4 linked regions of the Arabidopsis thaliana genome follow. The protein of the gene in region 3 purifies or fractionates together with the protein of the main gene of each other region. This does not show direct contact. Each region holds a gene or a part of one and is shown on either strand. Other genes may lie near its edges. The genes, in order: AT4G09200, AT4G09310, AT4G37880 and AT1G61150.

Evidence for each region.
Region 1: the proteins of AT4G37880 (region 3) and AT4G09200 fractionate together in Arabidopsis thaliana (co-fractionation; one large-scale study listed by BioGRID). This does not show direct contact.
Region 2: the proteins of AT4G37880 (region 3) and AT4G09310 fractionate together in Arabidopsis thaliana (co-fractionation; one large-scale study listed by BioGRID). This does not show direct contact.
Region 4: the proteins of AT4G37880 (region 3) and AT1G61150 fractionate together in Arabidopsis thaliana (co-fractionation; one large-scale study listed by BioGRID). This does not show direct contact.

The regions. Positions count from the first base shown.
Region 1 is NC_003075.7:5,857,410-5,863,385, reverse strand, and holds AT4G09200 (SPla/RYanodine receptor (SPRY) domain-containing protein), read right to left. Parts: upstream 4,143-5,976; 5' UTR 4,007-4,142; coding exon 3,747-4,006; intron 3,409-3,746; coding exon 3,250-3,408; intron 3,094-3,249; coding exon 2,958-3,093; intron 2,808-2,957; coding exon 2,731-2,807; intron 2,658-2,730; coding exon 2,516-2,657; intron 2,373-2,515; coding exon 2,304-2,372; intron 2,215-2,303; coding exon 2,158-2,214; intron 2,087-2,157; coding exon 2,000-2,086; intron 1,922-1,999; coding exon 1,715-1,921; 3' UTR 1,506-1,714; downstream 1-1,505.
Region 2 is NC_003075.7:5,900,454-5,906,862, reverse strand, and holds AT4G09310 (SPla/RYanodine receptor (SPRY) domain-containing protein), read right to left. Parts: upstream 4,051-6,409; 5' UTR 3,915-4,050; coding exon 3,655-3,914; intron 3,317-3,654; coding exon 3,158-3,316; intron 3,002-3,157; coding exon 2,866-3,001; intron 2,716-2,865; coding exon 2,639-2,715; intron 2,566-2,638; coding exon 2,424-2,565; intron 2,281-2,423; coding exon 2,212-2,280; intron 2,123-2,211; coding exon 2,066-2,122; intron 1,995-2,065; coding exon 1,908-1,994; intron 1,830-1,907; coding exon 1,623-1,829; 3' UTR 1,414-1,622; downstream 1-1,413. Other genes in the region: AT4G09300 (LisH and RanBPM domains containing protein), read right to left, coding at 6,174-6,301.
Region 3 is NC_003075.7:17,807,023-17,812,877, reverse strand, and holds AT4G37880 (LisH/CRA/RING-U-box domains-containing protein), read right to left. Parts: upstream 3,242-5,855; 5' UTR 3,033-3,241; intron 2,731-3,032; 5' UTR 2,696-2,730; coding exon 1,529-2,695; 3' UTR 1,219-1,528; downstream 1-1,218. Other genes in the region: EDA40 (Zinc finger (C3HC4-type RING finger) family protein), read left to right, coding at 1-66.
Region 4 is NC_003070.9:22,540,448-22,547,102, forward strand, and holds AT1G61150 (LisH and RanBPM domains containing protein), read left to right. Parts: upstream 1-2,049; 5' UTR 2,050-2,226; exon of another isoform or gene 2,227-2,415; 5' UTR 2,416-2,480; coding exon 2,481-2,534; intron 2,535-2,659; coding exon 2,660-2,819; exon of another isoform or gene 2,820-2,856; coding exon of another isoform or gene 2,857-2,920; coding exon 2,921-3,027; intron 3,028-3,126; coding exon 3,127-3,258; intron 3,259-3,389; coding exon 3,390-3,546; intron 3,547-3,786; coding exon 3,787-3,908; 3' UTR 3,909-4,571; coding exon of another isoform or gene 4,572-5,106; 3' UTR 5,107-5,214; downstream 5,215-6,655. Other genes in the region: EDA16 (SNF2 domain-containing protein / helicase domain-containing protein / zinc finger protein-like protein), read right to left, coding at 17-163; AT1G61160 (retrotransposon gag), read right to left, coding at 4,572-5,106, 5,745-5,773.

The sequences.
Region 1 (5,976 bases), about 12 Mb from region 3:
ACAAGCTCCAAGGGCTTGGTTTGACATATTCAGCAAATTCCTACTCAATTTTGGTTTTACCTGCAGTATGTCTGACCCTTCTCTCTTTGTCTACGTAAAGAACAAGGATGTGATCATGCTTCTTCTATACGTTGATGATATGGTCATCACAGGAAATAGCTCAAAACTTCTCTCCAGTCTTCTTAATGAGCTCAATAAGCAGTTCAAGATGAAAGATTTGGGCAGACTCAGTTATTTTCTTGGTATTCAGGCGCAATTTCATCCAAAAGGTCTTTTTCTCTCTCAACAGAAATATGCAGAAGATCTTCTAGCTACAACTGCAATATCCAACTGTTCTCCTGTTGCAACACCATTGCCACTTCAACCTGAGAGAGCACCTAATCAAACCGAGCCCTTCGACAATCCATCATATTTCAGAAGTTTGGCTGGTAAGCTGCACTACCTCACACTTACTAGACCGGACCTCCAATTCTCTGTTAATTACGTGTGCCAAAAGATGCACGCCCCTACAGTGTCGGATTTTCTTCTCCTCAAAAGGATTCTCCGGTACATCAGAGGAACAACAACCATGGGAATTTCATTCAACAAGGACACAGATTGTCAACTGCGAGCTTACAGTGACAGTGATCACGCCGGTTGTCATGGTACACGTCGCTCCACCGGTGGCTTCTGTACATTTCTTGTCAACAATCTAATCTCCTGGTCTTCTCGAAAGCAAGTCTCAGTCGCCAAAAGCTCAACCGAAGCTGAATATCGCTCTATGTCCGATACAGCCTCGGAAATCACATGGCTAGTCAATTTACTTCGTGATCTGGGTGTTCCGCAGTTACAGCTCCCCGAACTCTTCTGCGACAACCTCTCTGCCGTTTACCTTACAGCGAATCCATCGTTTCATGCTCGGACAAAGCATTTTGCAACTCACTATCATTATGTCCGAGAGCAGGTAGCTTTTGGTGAGCTCATCGTCCATCATATCCCGGGTTATCTACAGCTCGCTGACATATTTACAAAGTCTCTCGTTAAGGCTCCTTTCGAATCTCTCCGATTCAAACTTGGTGTCGATTTCCCACCTCCTCCAAGTTTGAGGGGGAGTATCAACAGAACAGCTCCAAACGACACAGTTTTGGAATTGGGCTCAAAACCATTAAAGCCCAATCCGAAACAAGTGCCCAATCCAAGAGCCAAGCCCAACATAGTGCAACGACAACCTGCAACAACAAAGGACAAAAGCAGAAAAGTTGCAGAGCGGTCCTTATCTCCACGCAGTACGGAAGTAACGACGAGGAATCGCTATGAGGCTCTTGAATCATGTGAAGACAACGACGCCACATAACAGCCAAGTGACAGCTATGCAAATCAAGAAGACACTAGGTTAAATCAATCTAGATGTATAAATAGACATAGCTTGTAATCACAAAGGCTTAAGTTGAAAGCAATAAACAAAAGACTTTCGATTTCATATTTTAACTTACAGCTAACAACAACATGTCATTAAAATTTGTAGCCGATTAAATTATCAAAATTAGTATGAGCAGCTCAATATTTGCCGATTTGTAGATAAATACTTGTAAATAAAAATTTTCAAGCTCCAATATAATCTCGTATATAGTTGTGAATCAAGTTAAAGTATGATCGCTAGTTTTAGAACATTTGAGCTTACACAATGACTCTATCAAGAGAAAAGATAAAAAGAAAAACAGAAAAAGTCAAGATTTTATTCACGAGCATAGAGTGAGCAGGTGGCTTCAAACTGTCTAAGCACTCGCTCAAGTGAAGCAGATTGCTGGTCTCTGGTGGCCGGATTTGTAGATAGAATCGCTTCACTGACTGCAGCTGCTACTATGTTCTTCTGTGTTTCTCCTAGAAGATATGCAGCACCTGATTCTTCTATAGTTTCACACTCGAACAAAGCAGAGCAATCCTGAAATAGAGAAAAACAAAACTATTAGTGACTCAAATATGAGAAACCTAATCTAACAGTTAGAGAATCACTACATACATCGAAAAGGTTTTTTAGTAGGCTTGAATCCCTAAAGTCTTTAAAATCTTGATTTCCAAATGACTTAGCCTCTGCTATTGCTCCTTTCTGCATTGTAGTTAGTTAGAGAAACACACCATGGATATGTGTAACAAATATACAAGGAATAAAGAACATACCCGTACTAATTCGACAATCTTTTGACAGATAAGAAGAAAATAAGCTTCTGATCCACCCTGCATATGATACAAGCAGCTTGTTAAAATAGTTCAAGGAATGTTAACAATGTGAATCACTCGATATATTAACTAGTTACTCAGCCCACCTCAATAAGTTGGGGATATCTATCCTTGAGTGCAGCAATAGCATCATCAATCTCAGCAGTCATTATAAGCTTTAACAAACAGAATGCATGGATCAGTTCGATATGAAACAGAAAAGATGTAGCAATGTAGCTTGCTTTTGGTTGATTTTGTACCTCACAGAAAAAAAATAAAAAAAAAATTACAGCAAGATAACCATAGCAGTGAAAAGTACCTCTCTGAGCTTTTTCCTTTGATGCAATTCATACTCATCAAAACTATTTTCTTGTGCAATAACAGTATGACGACTTGCAGCCAGGTTAAAAGCTCTAAAGCTATCTTCATATCCATAACGAAGAAGGTAGGTTTTTACAAGCCTGGAAAAAGGAAGCTTTAGCACAAACAGAAACAAGAATTACAATTAAGAACAGGCAGGAAAAGACACTTTACCCATGACTAATGCTGCGAGACATGGAAATCTTTTCAATTTCCCTTTCTTTTTTAACCCTCAATGATTCTTCAAAATGCTGAAATAAAGGTGGATCAGATAATAGAATATTGTATCAGAAAAATATGCCACATACATGCAAATATGGACATATGTGAGAGATGCATATTATTCTGCTTACTCAATAGTTATTCTCCGACTATGCAAGAAAAGAAAAGTACGACCTTACCTCAAAGTCAAAAGAAAACGCAATCTGTCCGCCGAAATTGACAGTGACAGCTTCGTTTTGGCTATGCAAAACAATTGTCGGGTATACAGGACGCCTAAATTGCCTGGGGATTGTCCCTACGATAGTTCCATTTTTCCTATAATCAAAGAAGTAGTCATAGATGTCAGCAAGTAAAACATACGCAGGGACATGTCAAAAACATTGTGACATGAAGAAATGAATTGTGTATCTTGATATCTACTTTTCCAATTGTAATGAAACATGTTCAGATAGGGAAACAGTTATTACTTACGTGAAAAAGAATTCTTGTGAAACCGAGTCTATACCGCAACCAACTAAATCACCTGTTGTATAGGTGTCACTGGCTTTAGCAACAGTTCGATCACCATCTCCATTTTGAGAGCATATGAGTCCACTGTTACCAATGTAGGCACAGCTTCTGACAGTATATCTAACATTACAGAGAAACATGAAACAGTGAATTGGAATGCTTAATTACTGAAAGGTGAAAACATCTAACAAAGCAAATCTCCCATTAACTTGTAAGATACCAGATCTAACAGCCAACACAATCAAATTGAGCAGCAAATCACATAACCTATTTCCAAGTAACGAATCCAAACCATTGAAACAGTGATTTGAACTACTGATCTACCATTGTATCTAAACCTATTTCCCAATTTGTTCTCTCAGTCTCAGGTACCAAATCAAACAGAATCAATGATTGTATTGAGTATCAAATCACGCAATAAGTGGTAAATGCGAATTGAAAGGGAAAGAAAACGATACCCTTCGCTATAGATGTGTTCCTTGGAGAAACCAATCGCGATCTCTCCTTTTTCACCAGCATTCATGATATGAACCTCGAAGTAGTAAGCAAGACAGTTAGTCGGCGCCGGATTTTCAGTCTGAAGAACTACGCCGTCGTGATCAGGGCCCGTGTATTGACCGGAGAGCCCATCGGGAGAAACAAAGGTAAATTCGTCTGAACCACCGACCGTGTATAGCGCCGTTGGCCGCAATTCTTCTTCCTCTTCGTTTTCCTCCATAGCTTCTCTCTGGTCAGAATCCCCCAATTCGTCCGAATCTATTGAATCGTAGAGAAAGAAACCCTAGAAATGCGATTGAAATGAAACCCCCAAATGTTGTTGAAGGGCATCAAAAACCACTTCGCGCCCAATGTTGTGTTTGCCAACAATAAATACGATTAAACCAGATATTTTTTAGTTAACCGGTAAATCAAATAACCGTATATTATTAAGTAAATAGATGAAACTCGGTATATTATTAAGTAACCATTTCTATGTTTTTTTCTCTTTTGGTTTTTACTTTTTAGAGTGCTTTTGGGGTGAATTTACACCTTATGTGAACACTGTTTATTAATGTTTTTCAATATCAATTATACAATAAAAATTTATTAACATAAACTTTTCTCTCTCGGTTCTAGGGATGGTATTCTCATGTGATCTCTTACTTCCAAATGATGCCATGCTTCTTTATTCAGATCCGGAAATCAGTACTATGACGAAGGATATGGAGCTCCTCCATCACACAAGCCTCCTTCTAACTGTGGAAGTCCACCTTACGACCCTGCTCCTTCAACTTCATCACACATTGATATGGGGCTTGCTTGTTCCCTGTGGCACTGTTGGAGGAGGTTTTGGTACAGTCAGTACTCCCAGTAGCATTCCAGAGTTTGATCATCACATGAACCTTCTTCAGGCACTTTCCAGACACCCGCACCGATCCCATTCGTGCTCTCTTCCGTCAAGGTACAACTTTGTTGGGGTCGGATTCCCCCACAAGCAAGACCGAGCCAAACAGTCTAAGAATAACAATCACCTCATGGTTAAACATATGATTGGCCCCTAGCCTAGAACAAAGCACCTCGGGACCTTATTCGATCGACCGTCCCGAAGAGAGTTTGTAAAATGGCTCGGGTGTTAATCATATGAACACAGCCCGAACCAATCGTGAGAACGCTGCGGGAAACATCTATATCGGCTCGGGAGACAGCCAACTGAGCTTAATGGACAGTCATCAAGCGCGCCCCGAGCCGGTACATACCGTTTGCCCCGAAGCCACCTCTCAAACGACCACCGAGCCGTGAAGAACACGCGAGGCAAAGACTTGTAAAAACCATTCATTCTCCAAGGATCATTTCCGGTAAAATGGGATCTTTTATGGGACTTTCAGAAATGATAAAGGAGAATCTTTGAAGATAATGTCGAAATCAGGAAATCTCCCCAAAACCTCCGAAGAATAAGGAGAATATCCTTAGGACGATTATCCTCTAGAACCGACCTAAGGATAAATAAGAATCTTCCGAAGAATATCGCTAGGGAGGCGGTTTAAGGATCCTATATAAAGTGCCTTAGGGACTTCACAAAAAGGGGGAGATCTTGGGATATTCACAAGAAACATAGAACTTTATACCTATTGAAAACTACGAATGGCTTGATCCCTTCACAGGGTACGTAGGCAATCCATCATGGATGCAGCTATACCTTTTTAAAACTCTAATTCTTTTTCTGTTCTTGAGCAAAACCCTAATGTATTTCATAAGAGATTAGAACCCCTCTTATAATCGAGTCTTGGATAGAATACCTAATGAAGAGAAATTACTAGATTTGTTTTCCCTCTCTAAACAAATCTATTGTGTGAATCCTTGGTTCAACAAACTTCTTGGTTAAACTCCATGACCATGGTCAACACTAAGTTCCCTTTCACAACACCCGCAGCTATTAGATACTATATATACTATAAACAGTTTAAGATTCGTATTTGAAGCCATCTCGAATATAAATCTATGTTTATGACTAGTCTGTTTTATAAACGATCCGTCAAGTCCTTTGAAGCCAGCTTTTTAGGTAAGGGAGAGAGATAGAATAACTAAGATAAGCAAAACAAAGATTAGGACGTATATGCATTGCCGAATAGTGAGATAAGTAGACAAAGAATGAGCAACTGTTTTTTTTTTTTTGGTTCTTCGGTCACACACCAAACAAACTTCAAAATG
Region 2 (6,409 bases), about 12 Mb from region 3:
ACGTAAAGAACAAGGATGTGATCATGCTTCTTCTATACGTTGATGATATTGTCATCACAGGAAATAGCTCAAAACTTATCTCCAGTCTTCTTAATGAGCTCAATAAGCAGTTCAAGATGAAAGATTTGGGCAGACTTAGTTATTTTCTTGGTATTCAGGCGCAATTTCATCCAAAAGGTCTTTTTCTCTCTCAGTAGAATTATGTAGAAGATCTTCTAGCTACAACTGCAATGTCCAACTGTTCTCCTGTTGCAACACCATTGCCACTTCAACCTGAGAGAGCACCTAATCAAACCGAGCTCTTCGACAATCCATCATATTTAAGAAGTTTGGCTGGTAAGCTGCACTACCTCACACTTACTAGACCGGACCTCCAATTCTCTGTTAATTACGTGTGCCAAAAGATGCACGCCCCTACAATGTCGGATTTTCTTCTCCTCAAAAGGATTCTCCTATACATCAGAGGAACAACAACCATGGGAATTTCATTCAACAAGGACACAGATTGTCAACTCCGAGCTTACAGTGTCAGTGATCACGCCGGTTGTCATGGTACACGTCGCTCCACCGGTGGCTTCTGTACATTTCTTGCCAACAATTTAATCTCCTGGTCTTCTCGAAAGCAAGTCTCAGTCGCCAAAAGCTCAACCGAAGCTGAATATCGCTCTATGTCCGATACAGCCTCGAAAATCACATGGCTAGTCAATTTACTTCGTGATTTGGGTGTTCCGCAGTTATAGCTCCCCGAACTCTTCTGCGACAACCTCTCTGCCGTTTACCTTACAGCGAATCCATCGTTTCATGCTCGGACAAAGCATTTTGCAACTCACTATCATTATGTCCGAGAGCAGGTAGCTTTTGGTGAGCTCATCGTCCATCATATCCCGGGTTATCTACAGCTCGCTGACATATTTACAAAGTCTCTCGCCAAGGCTCCTTTCGAATCTCTCCGATTCAAACTTGGTGTCGATTTCCCACCTCCTCCAAGTTTGAGGGGGAGTATCAACAGAACAGCTCCAAACGACACAGTTTTGGAATTGGGCTCAAAACCATTAAAGCCCAATCCGAAACAAGTGCCCAATCCAAGAGCCAAGCCCAACATAGTGCAACGACAACCTGCAACAACAAAGGACAAAAGCAGAAAAGTTGCAGAGCGGTCCTTATCTCCACGCAGTACGGAAGTAACGACGAGGAATCGCTATGAGGCTCTTGAATCATGTGAAGACAACGACGCCACATAACAGCCAAGTGACAGCTATGCAAATCAAGAAGACACTAGGTTAAATCAATCTAGATGTATAAATAGACATAGCTTGTAATCACAAAGGCTTAAGTTGAAAGCAATAAACAAAAGACTTTCGATTTCATATTTTAACTTACAGCTAACAACAACATGTCATTAAAATTTGTAGCCGATTAAATTATCAAAATTAGTATGAGCAGCTCAATATTTGCCGATTTGTAGATAAATACTTGTAAATAAAAATTTTCAAGCTCCAATATAATCTCGTATATAGTTGTGAATCAAGTTAAAGTATGATCGCTAGTTTTAGAACATTTGAGCTTACACAATGACTCTATCAAGAGAAAAGATAAAAAGAAAAACAGAAAAAGTCAAGATTTTATTCACGAGCATAGAGTGAGCAGGTGGCTTCAAACTGTCTAAGCACTCGCTCAAGTGAAGCAGATTGCTGGTCTCTGGTGGCCGGATTTGTAGATAGAATCGCTTCACTGACTGCAGCTGCTACTATGTTCTTCTGTGTTTCTCCTAGAAGATATGCAGCACCTGATTCTTCTATAGTTTCACACTCGAACAAAGCAGAGCAATCCTGAAATAGAGAAAAACAAAACTATTAGTGACTCAAATATGAGAAACCTAATCTAACAGTTAGAGAATCACTACATACATCGAAAAGGTTTTTTAGTAGGCTTGAATCCCTAAAGTCTTTAAAATCTTGATTTCCAAATGACTTAGCCTCTGCTATTGCTCCTTTCTGCATTGTAGTTAGTTAGAGAAACACACCATGGATATGTGTAACAAATATACAAGGAATAAAGAACATACCCGTACTAATTCGACAATCTTTTGACAGATAAGAAGAAAATAAGCTTCTGATCCACCCTGCATATGATACAAGCAGCTTGTTAAAATAGTTCAAGGAATGTTAACAATGTGAATCACTCGATATATTAACTAGTTACTCAGCCCACCTCAATAAGTTGGGGATATCTATCCTTGAGTGCAGCAATAGCATCATCAATCTCAGCAGTCATTATAAGCTTTAACAAACAGAATGCATGGATCAGTTCGATATGAAACAGAAAAGATGTAGCAATGTAGCTTGCTTTTGGTTGATTTTGTACCTCACAGAAAAAAAATAAAAAAAAAATTACAGCAAGATAACCATAGCAGTGAAAAGTACCTCTCTGAGCTTTTTCCTTTGATGCAATTCATACTCATCAAAACTATTTTCTTGTGCAATAACAGTATGACGACTTGCAGCCAGGTTAAAAGCTCTAAAGCTATCTTCATATCCATAACGAAGAAGGTAGGTTTTTACAAGCCTGGAAAAAGGAAGCTTTAGCACAAACAGAAACAAGAATTACAATTAAGAACAGGCAGGAAAAGACACTTTACCCATGACTAATGCTGCGAGACATGGAAATCTTTTCAATTTCCCTTTCTTTTTTAACCCTCAATGATTCTTCAAAATGCTGAAATAAAGGTGGATCAGATAATAGAATATTGTATCAGAAAAATATGCCACATACATGCAAATATGGACATATGTGAGAGATGCATATTATTCTGCTTACTCAATAGTTATTCTCCGACTATGCAAGAAAAGAAAAGTACGACCTTACCTCAAAGTCAAAAGAAAACGCAATCTGTCCGCCGAAATTGACAGTGACAGCTTCGTTTTGGCTATGCAAAACAATTGTCGGGTATACAGGACGCCTAAATTGCCTGGGGATTGTCCCTACGATAGTTCCATTTTTCCTATAATCAAAGAAGTAGTCATAGATGTCAGCAAGTAAAACATACGCAGGGACATGTCAAAAACATTGTGACATGAAGAAATGAATTGTGTATCTTGATATCTACTTTTCCAATTGTAATGAAACATGTTCAGATAGGGAAACAGTTATTACTTACGTGAAAAAGAATTCTTGTGAAACCGAGTCTATACCGCAACCAACTAAATCACCTGTTGTATAGGTGTCACTGGCTTTAGCAACAGTTCGATCACCATCTCCATTTTGAGAGCATATGAGTCCACTGTTACCAATGTAGGCACAGCTTCTGACAGTATATCTAACATTACAGAGAAACATGAAACAGTGAATTGGAATGCTTAATTACTGAAAGGTGAAAACATCTAACAAAGCAAATCTCCCATTAACTTGTAAGATACCAGATCTAACAGCCAACACAATCAAATTGAGCAGCAAATCACATAACCTATTTCCAAGTAACGAATCCAAACCATTGAAACAGTGATTTGAACTACTGATCTACCATTGTATCTAAACCTATTTCCCAATTTGTTCTCTCAGTCTCAGGTACCAAATCAAACAGAATCAATGATTGTATTGAGTATCAAATCACGCAATAAGTGGTAAATGCGAATTGAAAGGGAAAGAAAACGATACCCTTCGCTATAGATGTGTTCCTTGGAGAAACCAATCGCGATCTCTCCTTTTTCACCAGCATTCATGATATGAACCTCGAAGTAGTAAGCAAGACAGTTAGTCGGCGCCGGATTTTCAGTCTGAAGAACTACGCCGTCGTGATCAGGGCCCGTGTATTGACCGGAGAGCCCATCGGGAGAAACAAAGGTAAATTCGTCTGAACCACCGACCGTGTATAGCGCCGTTGGCCGCAATTCTTCTTCCTCTTCGTTTTCCTCCATAGCTTCTCTCTGGTCAGAATCCCCCAATTCGTCCGAATCTATTGAATCGTAGAGAAAGAAACCCTAGAAATGCGATTGAAATGAAACCCCCAAATGTTGTTGAAGGGCATCAAAAACCACTTCGCGCCCAATGTTGTGTTTGCCAACAATAAATACGATTAAACCAGATATTTTTTAGTTAACCGGTAAATCAAATAACCGTATATTATTAAGTAAATAGATGAAACTCGGTATATTATTAAGTAACCATTTCTATGTTTTTTTCTCTTTTGGTTTTTACTTTTTAGAGTGCTTTTGGGGTGAATTTACACCTTATGTGAACACTGTTTATTAATGTTTTTCAATATCAATTATACAATAAAAATTTATTAACATAAACTTTTCTCTCTCGGTTCTAGGGATGGTATTCTCATGTGATCTCTTACTTCCAAATGATGCCATGCTTCTTTATTCAGATCCGGAAATCAGTACTATGACGAAGGATATGGAGCTCCTCCATCACACAAGCCTCCTTCTAACTGTGGAAGTCCACCTTACGACCCTGCTCCTTCAACTTCATCACACATTGATATGGGGCTTGCTTGTTCCCTGTGGCACTGTTGGAGGAGGTTTTGGTACAGTCAGTACTCCCAGTAGCATTCCAGAGTTTGATCATCACATGAACCTTCTTCAGGCACTTTCCAGACACCCGCACCGATCCCATTCGTGCTCTCTTCCGTCAAGGTACAACTTCGTTGGGGTCGGATTCCCCCACAAGCAAGACCGAGCCAAACAGTCTAAGAATAACAATCACCTCATGGTTAAACATATGATTGGCCCCTAGCCTAGAACAAAGCACCTCGGGACCTTATTCGATCGACCGTCCCGAAGAGAGTTTGTAAAATGGCTCGGGTGTTAATCATATGAACACAGCCCGAGCCAATCGTGAGAACGCTGCGGGACACATCTATATCGGCTCGGGAGACAGCCAACTGAGCTTAATGGACAGTCATCAAGCGCGCCCCGAGCCGGTACATACCGTTTGCCCCGAAGCCACCTCTCAAACGACCACCGAGCCGTGAAGAACACGCGAGGCAAAGACTTGTAAAAACCATTCATTCTCCAAGGATCATTTCCGGTAAAATGGGATCTTTTATGGGACTTTCAGAAATGATAAAGGAGAATCTTTGAAGATAATGTCGAAATCAGGAAATCTCCCCAAAACCTCCGAAGAATAAGGAGAATATCCTTAGGACGATTATCCTCTAGAACCGACCTAAGGATAAATAAGAATCTTCCGAAGAATATCGCTAGGGAGGCGGTTTAAGGATCCTATATAAAGTGCCTTAGGGACTTCACAAAAAGGGGGAGATCTTGGGATATTCACAAGAAACATAGAACTTTATACCTATTGAGAACTACGAATGGCTTGATCCCTTCACAGGGTACGTAGGCAATCCATCATGGATGCAGCTATACCTTTTTAAAACTTTAATTCTTTTTCTGTTCTTGAGCAAAACCCTAATGTATTTCATAAGAGATTAGAACCCCTCTTGTAATCGAGTCTTGGATAGAATACCTAATGAAGAGAAATTACTAGATTTGTTTTCCCTCTCTAAACAAATCTATTGTGTGAATCCTTGGTTCAACAAACTTCTTGGTTAAACTCCATGACCATGGTCAACACTAAGTTCCCTTTCACAACACCCGCAGCTATTAGATACTATATATACTATAAACAGTTTAAGATTCGTATTTGAAGCCATCTCGAATATAAATCTATGTTTATGACTAGTCTGTTTTATAAACGATCCGTCAAGTCCTTTGAAGCCAGCTTTTTAGGTAAGGGAGAGAGATAGAATAACTAAGATAAGCAAAACAAAGATTAGGACGTATATGCATTGCCGAATAGTGAGATAAGTAGACAAAGAATGAGCAACTGTTTTTTTTTTTTTGGTTCTTCGGTCACACACCAAACAAACTTCAAAATGAATTCTTATGTAGCTTTATAGGAACCATACCATGGTGGAGAATAAAAGCCTAACCAGTAAACCAACATTTGAAAACAAAAACCCTCTCTTGTTATTAGTACTACCTAGGGGTCCAATATTGTCATGAATAAGAAAATCCCTAAATCATAAGAGCAAGGCTAAAAACTCCCCCCTCACTCAAAATACTCACTAGGAAGAAATGGTCATCATGTTCTTGCGACAGATCAGTTATATATCACTATATATGTTCCCTTTTGCAGAGCCGTTAGTTGTTGAAAGGGAAGAAGAATCATTCTGGTCGGTATATGAGCTGGCCAGTGGAAAAATCATTCATGCGTGGATACACATAGACTGTTTTTTCATCCAGTTGATTCTGAGTCCAAATCAGCTCCTTCAACAAGCGCTCCAATTCAGGACCTGTTGACAATTCACAAAACATAACATCATCATCATCTCACTTGGTACATTGACAAAGTTTCAAGAGCTGGAAATCTGAAAGACACATGAGAGCAACTAGGGACTGTA
Region 3 (5,855 bases):
GCGATCATGAGGAAGCATATGAATAGAGTCAGCGACCTCCATGGATTCGAAAATGCTAGATTTTAGTTTTGTTGTTTCTATTTTATTACGAAGTTTTGTAATGGTGTGATACAAAGAAATACAATGGTATATGAATTTTTTTATGGAATTTTGTTTCTCTTTATTTAATCAAATTATGGATATTAGTTTTGGATATAAGTAACAGTTTTGAATTTGTATATGATATTCACAACTCACAAGATTTTCATTTTTTTTTTATAATTGGTAAACATAGTATATATATATATATGATATATATAGAAGGGTAAACATTCATTCATATTAAACTTTATTAAATTTTGCAATGATGTGATACAAAGAAACAGAAAGGTACATAAACACTTAATACAAATTAGTGGTGTTTACCAGAAAAAAAAAATAACTTCTTTAAGTGGTGGGTGCTAGCTCCAGAAAATAAAATAAAAAACTGGCTAACATAATAATGCTATTTGTTTGTTACGGCGGAATTGAGCTTTGTTTTTGTCTCATGTACTTTTGTGAATTGAATAAAAACTCATGATGATTCTTCATTTTCTCTTTTATTTACCAATTTTTGTGCGTCTATTGTGTTCCCCATTATGTTCCCCATTAACTACCAATACACTCTAGTCAATCGGTCAAATTGAAGTAGAAAATTTTGATACGTGGAACGTGGTTCATTGCTTTTGCCTTTTGGTATATTTAAACTTGGATATATTTTGTGTACTCTTTTGAGAAGAATAGGTCTCGTCATTCGTGGATTCAAAACCAAGCTGACTCGCATGAACGAGACACACGTATGAATCGACATATACACAAGTGCAAGCTTAAGCCCATCTTTTGGGGTCTAAGCCCAATAAATCTTGTTTAGGAATTCAAATTCTCTAAGCTAACCAAAACGAGTCTTGAAACAGCCAAATTCTCTAAGCTAATCAAAGAAGAAACCAATACGAGTCTTGAAAAGGCCAAAGTGTCTAAGCTAACCAAAGAAGAGACGAACAACACAATAAACCAACATTTGCCTCACATATAATAAAGAAAGAGCCTAATTCTCTAACTCAAGAACTACTTCTATTGTAGCGTTATATGTGTCTAACCCATCCAAACAATGATTGTACGAAAATTAGATTAACTAAGACATGATTCTCTATTTAACAGATGAGCGCAGCAAAAATCAATTTGTTTTATTTCCATGTGACCAGTAATTCTAAAAGAGAGCTTAATTTCCAGGGTTCCAGCTAATCTAAACTAAATTTGCAGTGTAAAGAATTTCTATATTCAAAAGGTTTAACAAACAAATAGCAACAACACCAAAAACACATTCTTATGGGATGTCCAATCATCTAAAAACTTCCCCTGATCAATTTGTACACCAAAGCCCCATCACTTAAAAAACTTCATGAAAAAAAGAAACAGAGAACACCACAAGGTTACAATTTTGACACAGATTTCACCGATTCAGAACTTAGTTCCAGTTTATATCGGTCGTACAAATTCCCGAGCTTTCGTTTCAAAAGTGCAACTGCCTACACCTTGAGATGTCTACATCGGTTGGGCAATAAGGACACTTGAACGACGACTTAGAGCCATTCTTTGACATTTTGTTGATCGTCTGCTTGCAAAGCACATGTCCACAAGACATCATCATCGGAGGGTTATCATCACTTGACTGTTCTTTAGAGACTGGACAGACAAACACCGAATGAAACTGAAACTCCTCGGATAGTTGCGCATCAACAGGAAGTTGTTCCATGGTCTGCCAATCAAGCTTCTTATTCGCCATCACCACGTTCATGTATTTCAATAGTACTGGTAACGCTTGTGTGCCCGCTGTTACTGTTATACTCAACGGGCTTTCAGATGATTCACCGAGTAGGTTGCAGTACTGTCGGGTTAGCTCTTTGACTGCATTGTTCCACAGAGCGGGGGAGAGAAACTCGGAGTATGGTGATTTATCGAGTTTTCTGTTCCATAAGAGAGAACACATGAGCTTCTGGATCTCCGGGAGGCAGCTATCTGCAAACGTGGCGATATGCTTTCTCGCATAGTCGATAGCTTCTTTGGAGTTTTTGCCTCGTGCTATTTCCAGAAAGTGTAGACTATGAAGCTTCATCTCAAGATCAGACCTTGCTTCCTTTAGTTTGTCAGAGTTCGAAACAGCCCAATTAAGAGCCGGTTCAAGATCTCGTCTCTTCATAGCTTCTAGTATCCGATACATCTCCACGAAAGATTGTCTTGTAGAACATTCAGATTCACCAGTTTCAGCAACAAAACAGTCACCAATGTCAAACATTCCTTGACGGTAGAAAAAGTTGGCGATAATCTGGTTAACGATATGAGTATCAAACTCAACATTGTGTCTATAAGCCTTTGATATGTCTGGATTCAGCTGTTTCTCAAGAACTTTAGGGTACTTGGTCAAAGCCGCATGTAGCTCTTTCTCAGTAGCTTCAAGTTGAGTGATTGGAGCAATCTCCATAAACACTTTCTTCACATCAGCGAGGATAGATCTATGATCAAGAAGCATAGTATCTGATGATGGTGTCTCCTCTAATATGCTCAAAGCCTTATCGATTTCTTGAGACAACATATGAACAATCTCATTAGTTTTGCTATAAGAGAGCTTCTGCTTCGTCGCAACACGATCAAACGCATCCTTAATGCTCTTTAGCTCCATTCTTAGATAAGTCAAAATCACTCTAAGAATCTTACCTGAGACAAGCAAAAATCATACCAAAATTAGACATTTTTTGAAATGAATCATCAAGATGCAAAAATCGGATCTTCAAATCCAAAATCAGAAACTTAAAACAGAGGACACAATTTCCTCTAATCACAAATTGATTCCAGAATAAACAGATCAGATAAATTTTCTATATAGAATCAAAGATCTCAATCAATTTCAAACTAACGATTTCAGGAATCTATGAAGACCAAATCGAAAAACTTCCAGAAATGAATCAGCGTGAAAATCAAAAGACTTCTAAGATACACAAAGAAAGGGAAAAACGTACCTAAAATCGAGAGGTTGAAGATGAAGTTGGTGGATCAAAGTAAAAGCAGAGACTTGGCTTCGAGCAAAAGAGAGGAAAATCAGATTTCGTGATTTTTTTTTGTCTTCTGTCTTTTTTTTTTTGTTTTTCGTTAATATTTTCTCATCACTCCTTCAGATTATTATCCTTACGAGTTAGGGAGAACTATCACGTGTTATAGTGAATAAAAGACTCTCAGCCGTTGGATTTGTTTAGTGTTAGATATACTTTAGTGTGGAGTATATTACAGACGATTCCAAGCTCTAGGTCTTCCGTGAACTAAAAAGCCCATTATATATTTTGAAAGGAGAGAAAAAGGCCCAACTACCGCTTCTCTATGTTTACATTTTGATAAATTGTTACGCAGTGAAAAACAAAATATGACTGTTGTAACGAGTGTAACGGCAACTTTTTCTTACCGTTAATGAAGTAACTAAAGTTTCTAATTGTACATTATTTAAGAATAACCTTAAATCAATAGTGAATTATATTTTTAAAAACATTTGTGTTAAATTTTAAAACTATGAAAATAAACTGAATTTGACATTTAGTCTTTAAAATTTTGTTTGCTTTTATGAAAAATTATAAGTTAATTCTGCTTACACGTAATGTAAATTTAAAATTTCAATTTCTGATTATTATTATTTTAATTTTTTTTTTTTAACTTTTGAATAAAGCCACGAAAATTAAGATACAAAAAAAGACAATAGTTTATAAAAACGTCCAAGTCAGATAATCACAAGCTCGTGAGAACTCAATTCCAAAATTTCATAATCAATTAGTGTTGAATTTTCGTTTCTGTCTATAAATAGTGCTATTAACACTTTAAAGTGTGTATAGAAAACTACATCGAAACCAGAATTTTAATGTTTTATGAAACCACTTTAAATAGAAAACTATGGGTACTAGAAACCACAAAACTTTTCAAAAAATTAAGATATCAAACATGCAAAAAAAAATCTGTCCTCGTATGAAAAATATAGTTAAAACTATATAATAATTTGATAAAATAAAATAAAAACATCTTCTTTGACCAAAACAGAAAAAAAAAAAAAAAAAAAAACGTTTTCTCAGTTTGCTTTCATCAAATCATGTATGTTATATGTTATCGAAGATATAGACTCTATAGTGTGTTTTTTCGTGTGATTCATTTTATTTGTTTCAATAGTTGTTAAAATACGAGAAACCCACCAAAACGAATATATAGGAGAAAATAACGCGTTTAAATTATGACATCAGTAGAAACTCTTTTTGCGGACTGTGAATTGAGATATCCAAGAAAAGGGAAGAGGAGAAGAGTGAATCGGCCTCCCCCACAAGGTGACAAAACTGGAATCTATAATGGGAATGTAAATAATCAATAAGAGAAAGAACCAATGAACATTCAAAAGTGAAAGAAATTGAGAGTACATACATATAATAGTACTAATTAACCACTCCCTTGCACATGGTTAATCTACAGCGTTGGATTCCATTATCAAGTAGTACCTATGTCAAGATTCGAGAAGATCTTCAATGAACAACTATTCAACTCTCTTTTTTGTAGCCCTACTCGTTATTTAACTATATGACTAATGGTGTTGTCTAAAATGGTTTACCGTATGGTCTGAATATAAAAATGGTTGAAACGATGATAGATTAGAATTTATAAATGCAAATTAATTCATCTTTTTTGGAACGTGGGTCATTGATGTGAACATCTAATCGGTCACGGCCGAGACCGACAACCAAAAAAATTGTCATGAAACTTTCACGGGGGTCTCTCGCGTGAGTCGTGATCTCTCTCCATCGCGATAATATATGTGCCAACGGAAGACTTTTTTTCTTATAACAAAAAGACTCTTATTCCTAAAAAGCTACAATTCAGCGAAAGACTTTAAGTTTGCTTAACCTTTTCTATATTCTTTTTGAATTTTCAAAACTCATAAAACCAATAGTAATTAAAGTCCATCGGCCGATTGGGTCCAGACTATTAAAGTTGGATCGGATTAATTTTTAGGCATTAACAAGAATTATGGTCATAAAATGAGTTGTAGTAAACACATCTTTGTGATCAGAATGCAAATCCCGTGAGACTTTGTGCACGAGAGTACGTGGTGCTTTATGACTTGCACCTTTTTCATATTAGCTTTAATACAAAATTAATTATATGACAAGATTTCTACTAAAATAATATCCAAACCGTCGATTATTGCCACATTTTATTAGAAAACCTCTTTTTAAAAATGTTTTATTAAACTTTTGTATATATTGTTGTCTTCATTATCCTGCGCCCATGCTAGCATGCAAATTGCAGAGTCTTTCTGATAAAAATATTCTCCTTCACTTTTGGATTCAGAAAGCTGGAGTATCTAATTATACATAAACTAATTACAATCTAATGATGAACATAAACAATAACTTCCAAAACAACACGTGACGAAGGTTCTTGTAATTGTGAAATAACAATCATCATGTTCGTAACGTTCCTTGTAGTATTCTTTTCCTGATTCATACTGATACATATAATAATATAGTGTGAATATTAAAAAATAAAATAAGTATACGTATATATATGTTGAACCTCATTGCGTGTCCTCTCACGAATCTACTTACTTTGAGATGCGTGCCCATCTCCTAAAATACAATCGGAGCTATGTCTATCGTTTTCGATATTCCCCGGCCGAAACCATCAAACGAATTTTTATCATCATCAAACAACTTGATAAAATAAGTGACACTTGCGAAAATTATTTGATGGAGATCACGAATATTAGACCGTAAAATCAATTACCAATATGCAAGTTACAGATTTTTTCATTTATC
Region 4 (6,655 bases), on a different chromosome or scaffold from region 3:
AAGCCGAGAAAACTACCTCAGCAGAATCAGGCTTCTCATCTAGAATCCGATAAAGCGTTTCGATGTCAATAGTCTCGTCATCATCTTCAAACTCAAAACCACCATCACAATCATCAACCGGAAATTCACCTCCCAGACCAAACATTGAACCTTCCTCACCCATCAAAAATCACAAAAAAAAAAAAAAAAAACTAACCCGAGAAAGAACGAGAAGAGGAACAAACCCTAAATCAGAAAACCCAAAAGTCACGGAATTTCAGCTCCCGGGAAACCCAAATCGAAATTCAGAAGTAGACGCGTAGATCCAGAGATTGTAGAATTTTCAGGTACGACGAAGAAGAAGGCTTGAGAATTGGGTTTTGAAGGAATTTTCGAGGAAAGGTAGAGAGCAGTTGGGATAGAGAAAATAAAAATCGCGACTTTTTGTAGCGACGGTGGCTTCTTTTTATTGCCTTGTTCTCTCTTTTGGCTTTCTCCGAATTGGAAAAAGTAAACACCACAAGGCTATGGGACTTCCGGCTTTAAATAAGGAACGGTCGAACATTTGTTTTTCTTTTTCTTTCATTTTTTTCCATTTTTTCATTATTTAATAATGCATGATTATATATAATTATATTTTATGCGCCGTCATCTTTATTGTTAAAGCAAAATCACAATTTAAACAAAAGGAAACAACTTTAATTAGTAGTAGGAAACTGAAGTGTTTAAGTAATGGAGATTTTTTTGAAGTGTTTGCTAATCATAATTTATTGTAAAAATTATTTTTAATTGTGTGAAAATTAGATTTTCTACACTAACAAAAAAATTTCATATGTTAAAGAAAACAAATATGAAACTAAATCACAAAGATCAATTGGAATTAGACATGTGGATCGACTCATTAGAAAAATAATCATCTCAATCAATAAGAAGAGATAAAACATATATTTGACTAAATGATCTTACCAATCTTGTGGTCATAAAATTCTACAAAGCACTATATTGCTAATTTCTACAAAGCACATTTGTAATCTTCTGAATCATTTGTTAGCCCTAAAAGAAGACTAGTATTATACGAGATCACCATTTTTATGATTGATCAAATATCTTGTAGAGCGCAAAACTTTGTAGGTAGTTTGATGAGAAAGAGCTTGCTTATTATGTGATCAACAATTCCGTTCTTGCCATGTCTCAAAGTAGTTGCTTGCCATATTAATTGATATGAAGAGCCTTTGATTTTGCAGAGATAGGAATTGCCAAAAGAAACCATATGAGGATTGACTCGAGAAGTTTTAGTGTAACTTCTTCACTAAGTCCTTCCAAACCAGTTGGGAAAAATAATATTAAAGAATAAGTGGTCCATTGATTCTTAGTCGGTCAACTAGCTAGAAGACCTCAAATTCTGCAATCGATCCTTTGTCTTATTGTGGTTCCACACAAACAACCATGTGCAAAGAACAAAACATGTTTTGGGACTTTAGTTTGAAGATGCAATTAAACATATTGTTAGATTGTTGACCAAGAAAAAACATATTGTTGAGATTGAAAGATATATTTTGCATCGGACTGCAAAATGTTTATGTCACATATTTGTTACCTAATAGTTGATTTTAATAGAGTATAATAGAGTATCAGTTATTGGTTTTAAATTGTGTATCAAATTCCAAATAATATAGAGATTTTTAACATCAGTCTTATTTAATTATGATTTTAACCAAGTGTCGTTAGCTCAATTGGTAAAGACCTTATGCAAAGCTTAGAGGTCGCCGGTTCGAGTGACGCTTGGGACGAAACTAATATTTTATGCTGTGGTTTCAGGCCTGGGGGATTACGGACTTTGACCCACAACCTCCAAGATTTAAAAAAAAAAATAAAAAAAAATTATGATTTTAAATCGAAATTTTGTTCTTCAAAGGTAAAATAGTTTAAAAATCTTTGGGTATTAAAATCATTTGGAAATGAGTTACATAATACTATCCGGTATATAAAGAACCAAATCCAAAAACAAACCGGTTCCCTTAATAATTTAAACCGGATTATTCATCGACGGTTCGTCAACATCCTAATAATTTAAACCCGATCTCTTCTTCTCTATCGAAAACCTCCAACTTTTTTTTGTTTTATCAGATTGTAAATTTAGGGAAGAGACTTTCGCAAGCAATCTAGAAGCAAATCGATCGCCAAATCTCCGGATTATTTGCAAGAATCGTTCCCAGATAATCTTCCCCAGATTCTCCACTTCTCCAGGTACATCGTTATATTCAATTTTTGAGGAAAATAGTCGCACACTCTCTCTTTCTTAGAACTACCACTCCTGTGCTGTTTTGAGATTAAAGCTTGAATTTTGACTAAAGCCCTAAATTACTTTGTATCACTATCTGATCACAAAGTCAATTTCTTTTGGAAATAGCTCTGATCGGAGTGTTGCTCGAACAGGTATTAATTTCGTATTGAGTGGATTAGATTAGATTTCAAGATATGAGAGCCTCACTGGCGTTCTAATGTCACTGTTTCGTATTTTTATCAATCAGCTTGAAGAAGACGACGAAGATATGGTAATTTTGACTCCTCTTATGAGTCTGTTCTTTGTGTTATTTGATACAACTTGATGATGGGTTTTTGGAAAACTTTAATCTTTATGCACGTTGTGTGACCTAGTTTTAATCGTGGCTTGTCGCAGGCTACTTCGAAGAAAATGATCACACGTGAAGAATGGGAGAAGAAACTAAATGCTGTGAAGCTTAGGAAAGAAGATATGAATACTTTGGTGATGAATTTTCTTGTGACTGAAGGATATGTTGAAGCTGCTGAGAAATTCCAAAGGGAGTCTGGAACCAAACGTATCCTTTTTCTGATTCTGGTTTTGAGTTTTTGTTTATGGAATTGGTGTGTTTGATGTTTAGCTTATCTACTCCTTTTGAACTTCCTTATCGAGAAACAGCAGAGATAGATCTTGCGACCATTACTGATCGAATGGCTGTTAAAAAGGCTGTTCAAAACGGAAATGTCGAGGATGCGATTGAAAAAGTTAATGATTTGAATCCTGAGGTACAATGCTTCTTCATATCTTGTGTGGAGAGTAGTCATTCACTTTTCTGATGTAATAAAGAAGCAAAATCTGATTCTTCTTTGAACCCATGCTTGCAGATACTAGACACGAATCCGGAGCTCTTTTTTCATCTTCAGCAGCAAAGGTTGATAGAATTAATTCGACAAGGGAAGACAGAAGAGGCCTTAGAGTTTGCTCAGGAGGAACTTGCACCACGTGGCGAAGAAAACGTAAGTCTTTGTATTTCACTTTGATTTCTGTCGTTAAAGATGGTGTTTTCCATGTGTATTGCTCATTGACTGTGTGTAATATCTGTTGTTGCTGAAACTTCATTCATACAGTCTGTTATATCTCTCTGCAGCAAGCGTTTCTGGAAGAATTGGAAAAAACTGTAGCCCTACTTGTTTTTGACGATGCCTCTACCTGCCCGGTTAAAGAGCTTCTTGATCTTTCCCACCGTCTTAAGACAGCAAGTGAAGTAAATGCAGCGATTCTTACAAGCCAGAGCCACGAAAAAGGTAGCTTTTGAATTTTGATGTTATACTGGTTGTCTTTTAGTAGCCACAAAATACCATTATAATCTCGAGCATCATTCATTATCAATCTTAAGATTCAAAGTATATGCAACTCTTCTCTACATAACAAGTAAAATTTTTCATTCATTACTTCACCCACAACATGTATCATCCAAGTTCTTCTTGAAACTTTCCATTTTCCTCCATGGTTAATGTAGCAACTCAATGTTTGTGAACAAACAGATCCTAAACTTCCAAGCTTGTTGAAGATGTTGATTTGGGCTCAAACTCAACTGGACGAGAAAGCAGTGTATCCGCACATTAATGATTTGTCTACCGGTAAGCTCGAAGACCCGTCAGAATGATTCCGTACTTCTTTCAGCCATTGGAAATCAGTAGCAAAAAGGAACAATGAATGGTGCTCTCTTCTCTTCCCGTCAATCTCAATAACTTACAATTCATATGCTTTCTGCTTTTCCTTTTCTTCTGCATCGGGATTTGTTGGACCCGCAATCGTTAGGATATGGGGAGGGGAACATAAGCTTTTGTAGGCAATGAATTACTCTAGTCAAATGTTCTTATTATCAACATATTTGATGACTCATTGCATACGTGCATTTGATTTGAATGAAGTTATCGACTTTGTTTGGATCTTTGTGTTTGTTTTGAGGAATATTTTTGTTCCAAAAGGTTCGAATTGTAAACAAGAGAGATGGCTTATTCATCCCATGTATAGTTACATGAATCAATGAATCAACTTGGCACGGTTCCTACTTACCTAGAAAGCAACATGACCTATTGAATTGAGTGCTGTTACCGTCGAAATGGAGAATCTCTGCGAACCGTACTGAAACATCATTTGATTTTTCTTCTTCTTCGCAAAATATTATTTTGGTACTGACACAGCTTTGAATCTTGCATGACATGGTACGAAGTAAATAAAGGGAAGTAGTAATAGCAACTTTTTGATATATAAAATAGGAAACATAATCCACAAGACTCAAGACCTTATGTTGACTCTAGCCATCTCAATCTTGCATGATATGGTCTTCCGGATCATAGGATTTGGAGGGTTTGCTCTCCACCTCATCTTCGGATGCGGGTCGGCCCAAATTGCTTTGTCCGCAGTCAACATCTGCAAACTCCTCAGACACGAGCGGCACCTTTTCCTTGATGCTTCTAAGTTTGGCCTCTACCTTCTCAGCTTCATCAACTACATCTGACACATAATTAAGGATCCATCCGCAGTTCGCTGCACATACCCCTTCCTGCAACTCCTCGCGTAGCCCTTCCTGGAACAGACACGCCAGCTGCTCTTCCTCCAACTCTCTTCCGAGGTTCTTGACCTTCTTAAGGAACTCGTTATAATACTCACGCACTGTCTCTGTTCCTTGCTTCACCTCAAAGGCTTCCCAGCTCAAGGCAATGTTGACGTCAACCAGCTTAGACTCATCGAAGGCTCCGCGCTCAGAAGCTTCTCGGGGTGGCTGATCCTCCTCCCCAACTACCCCTGTGAGCTCAAAGTTTTTTGGTTCACCAGATGTCTTGATCGACCTGGTCTGCCTGCGGGTCAATAATTCATCGAGTTTTATACATTTAATAATTTGTTACAAAATATGAAAACAAGGATAGTTTTCAGTTAGAAAAACAATTTATTATCTTAGAAAATCATGACTATGCTAAATCTAATATATTTAAATAAAAAACTTTACATCAAAATTCTAACAAATTATCAAATATTATGGATTTGAGGGAGTATAAATTATCATTATAATTCAACAAAATTAAAACTGAATTTTGCGAAAACATAATTTATATGAAACTCGAGTATAAAAATGATGACTCGAAATGGATCAAATAGAATAAAGCAATCGTAATGTCGAATAGTGGAAAAGAGATTTATATCTTATTTTATTTTGTCTGAAAAAGATCTATCTTCACCTATTTTTATTGAACTTTAAATATTTTAAGCAAAAATAAAATTGATTCAATTTGATATAAAATGAGCAAAGACCTTTTGATCATGATCCTTTACAAGATTTTCATTTCATGCTTTATCATTACAGAAAAAAAAAATCTAACAAACTAATCTGAAAGCTAAAAGATTGAAAATAATATAGTTTCTTAATATATTTTATCAAAATCATTAATAGATATTGTGAAATAGATAATAGAAAATTGAGAATATCTAAGGAACTTACAAATTGATATTACTTCTTCCATTAGTCATTGTGGAGAATGAAGAAATAAAAAAAATGGGAAATGAAGCTCTTAAAGTGAGTCTAACCAAATGATGTACTTTTATTAACTCCCAAAATGGGATATCATTGATTTATGTTCTATAAATAAAAAATTAACCTGATTCATTTTTCTTATATAATAATTGATTAAGACATACGCTGGCAAAATTTTTTTTTTTTATGTCCGCTCGCAAATCAAAAAAATATGGAAATACAATAAATTTTAATTATAATAAATTAGCTTTTATTTTCTTTTCATAATTTCTAATAAATATCTCATATACCCAATTTACAGTATCGTATTTTGTATTAAATAAGTTTGAGTTAAAATTGAATCATTATGAAAATCTAATTAGAATATATATATATATATATATATATATATATATATATGTGTGTGTGTGTGTATGTATAGTACTGGTACATAATATTAATGTTTTGTAACAATTTCGGTTTCTAGTTTCTAAAATATGGTAAATTATCAAAATCGATTAATTATGATATTTTCACAATTATATTTTTCTAATATTGTAAATTTGTTCCCAAATTTTTTTTTTTTTAAAGTCCCAAAGATAGAAAGTTATTATTATAATTCCAAATTTAAAATAAATTTTAAATTTAATATGGAGATTGACTCTTGTAGTCTTTTGACTTGTTCATTAATATGTTCCCGAAATAGTTTTATATGGTATACAAAATTAAATAATTGTATAAAAGGTAAATCTAAATTTAAGTTACGTCAGATTTGATCTTTTATGTGATAGAGATGTGTTCCAAATAGTTCTTTTAATTGATTTGAACACTTTCTTTGGTACCAAAACAAGAAACATCATAGGGTTTGCGTACTCATTGGTATTAATGAAACTGACCCA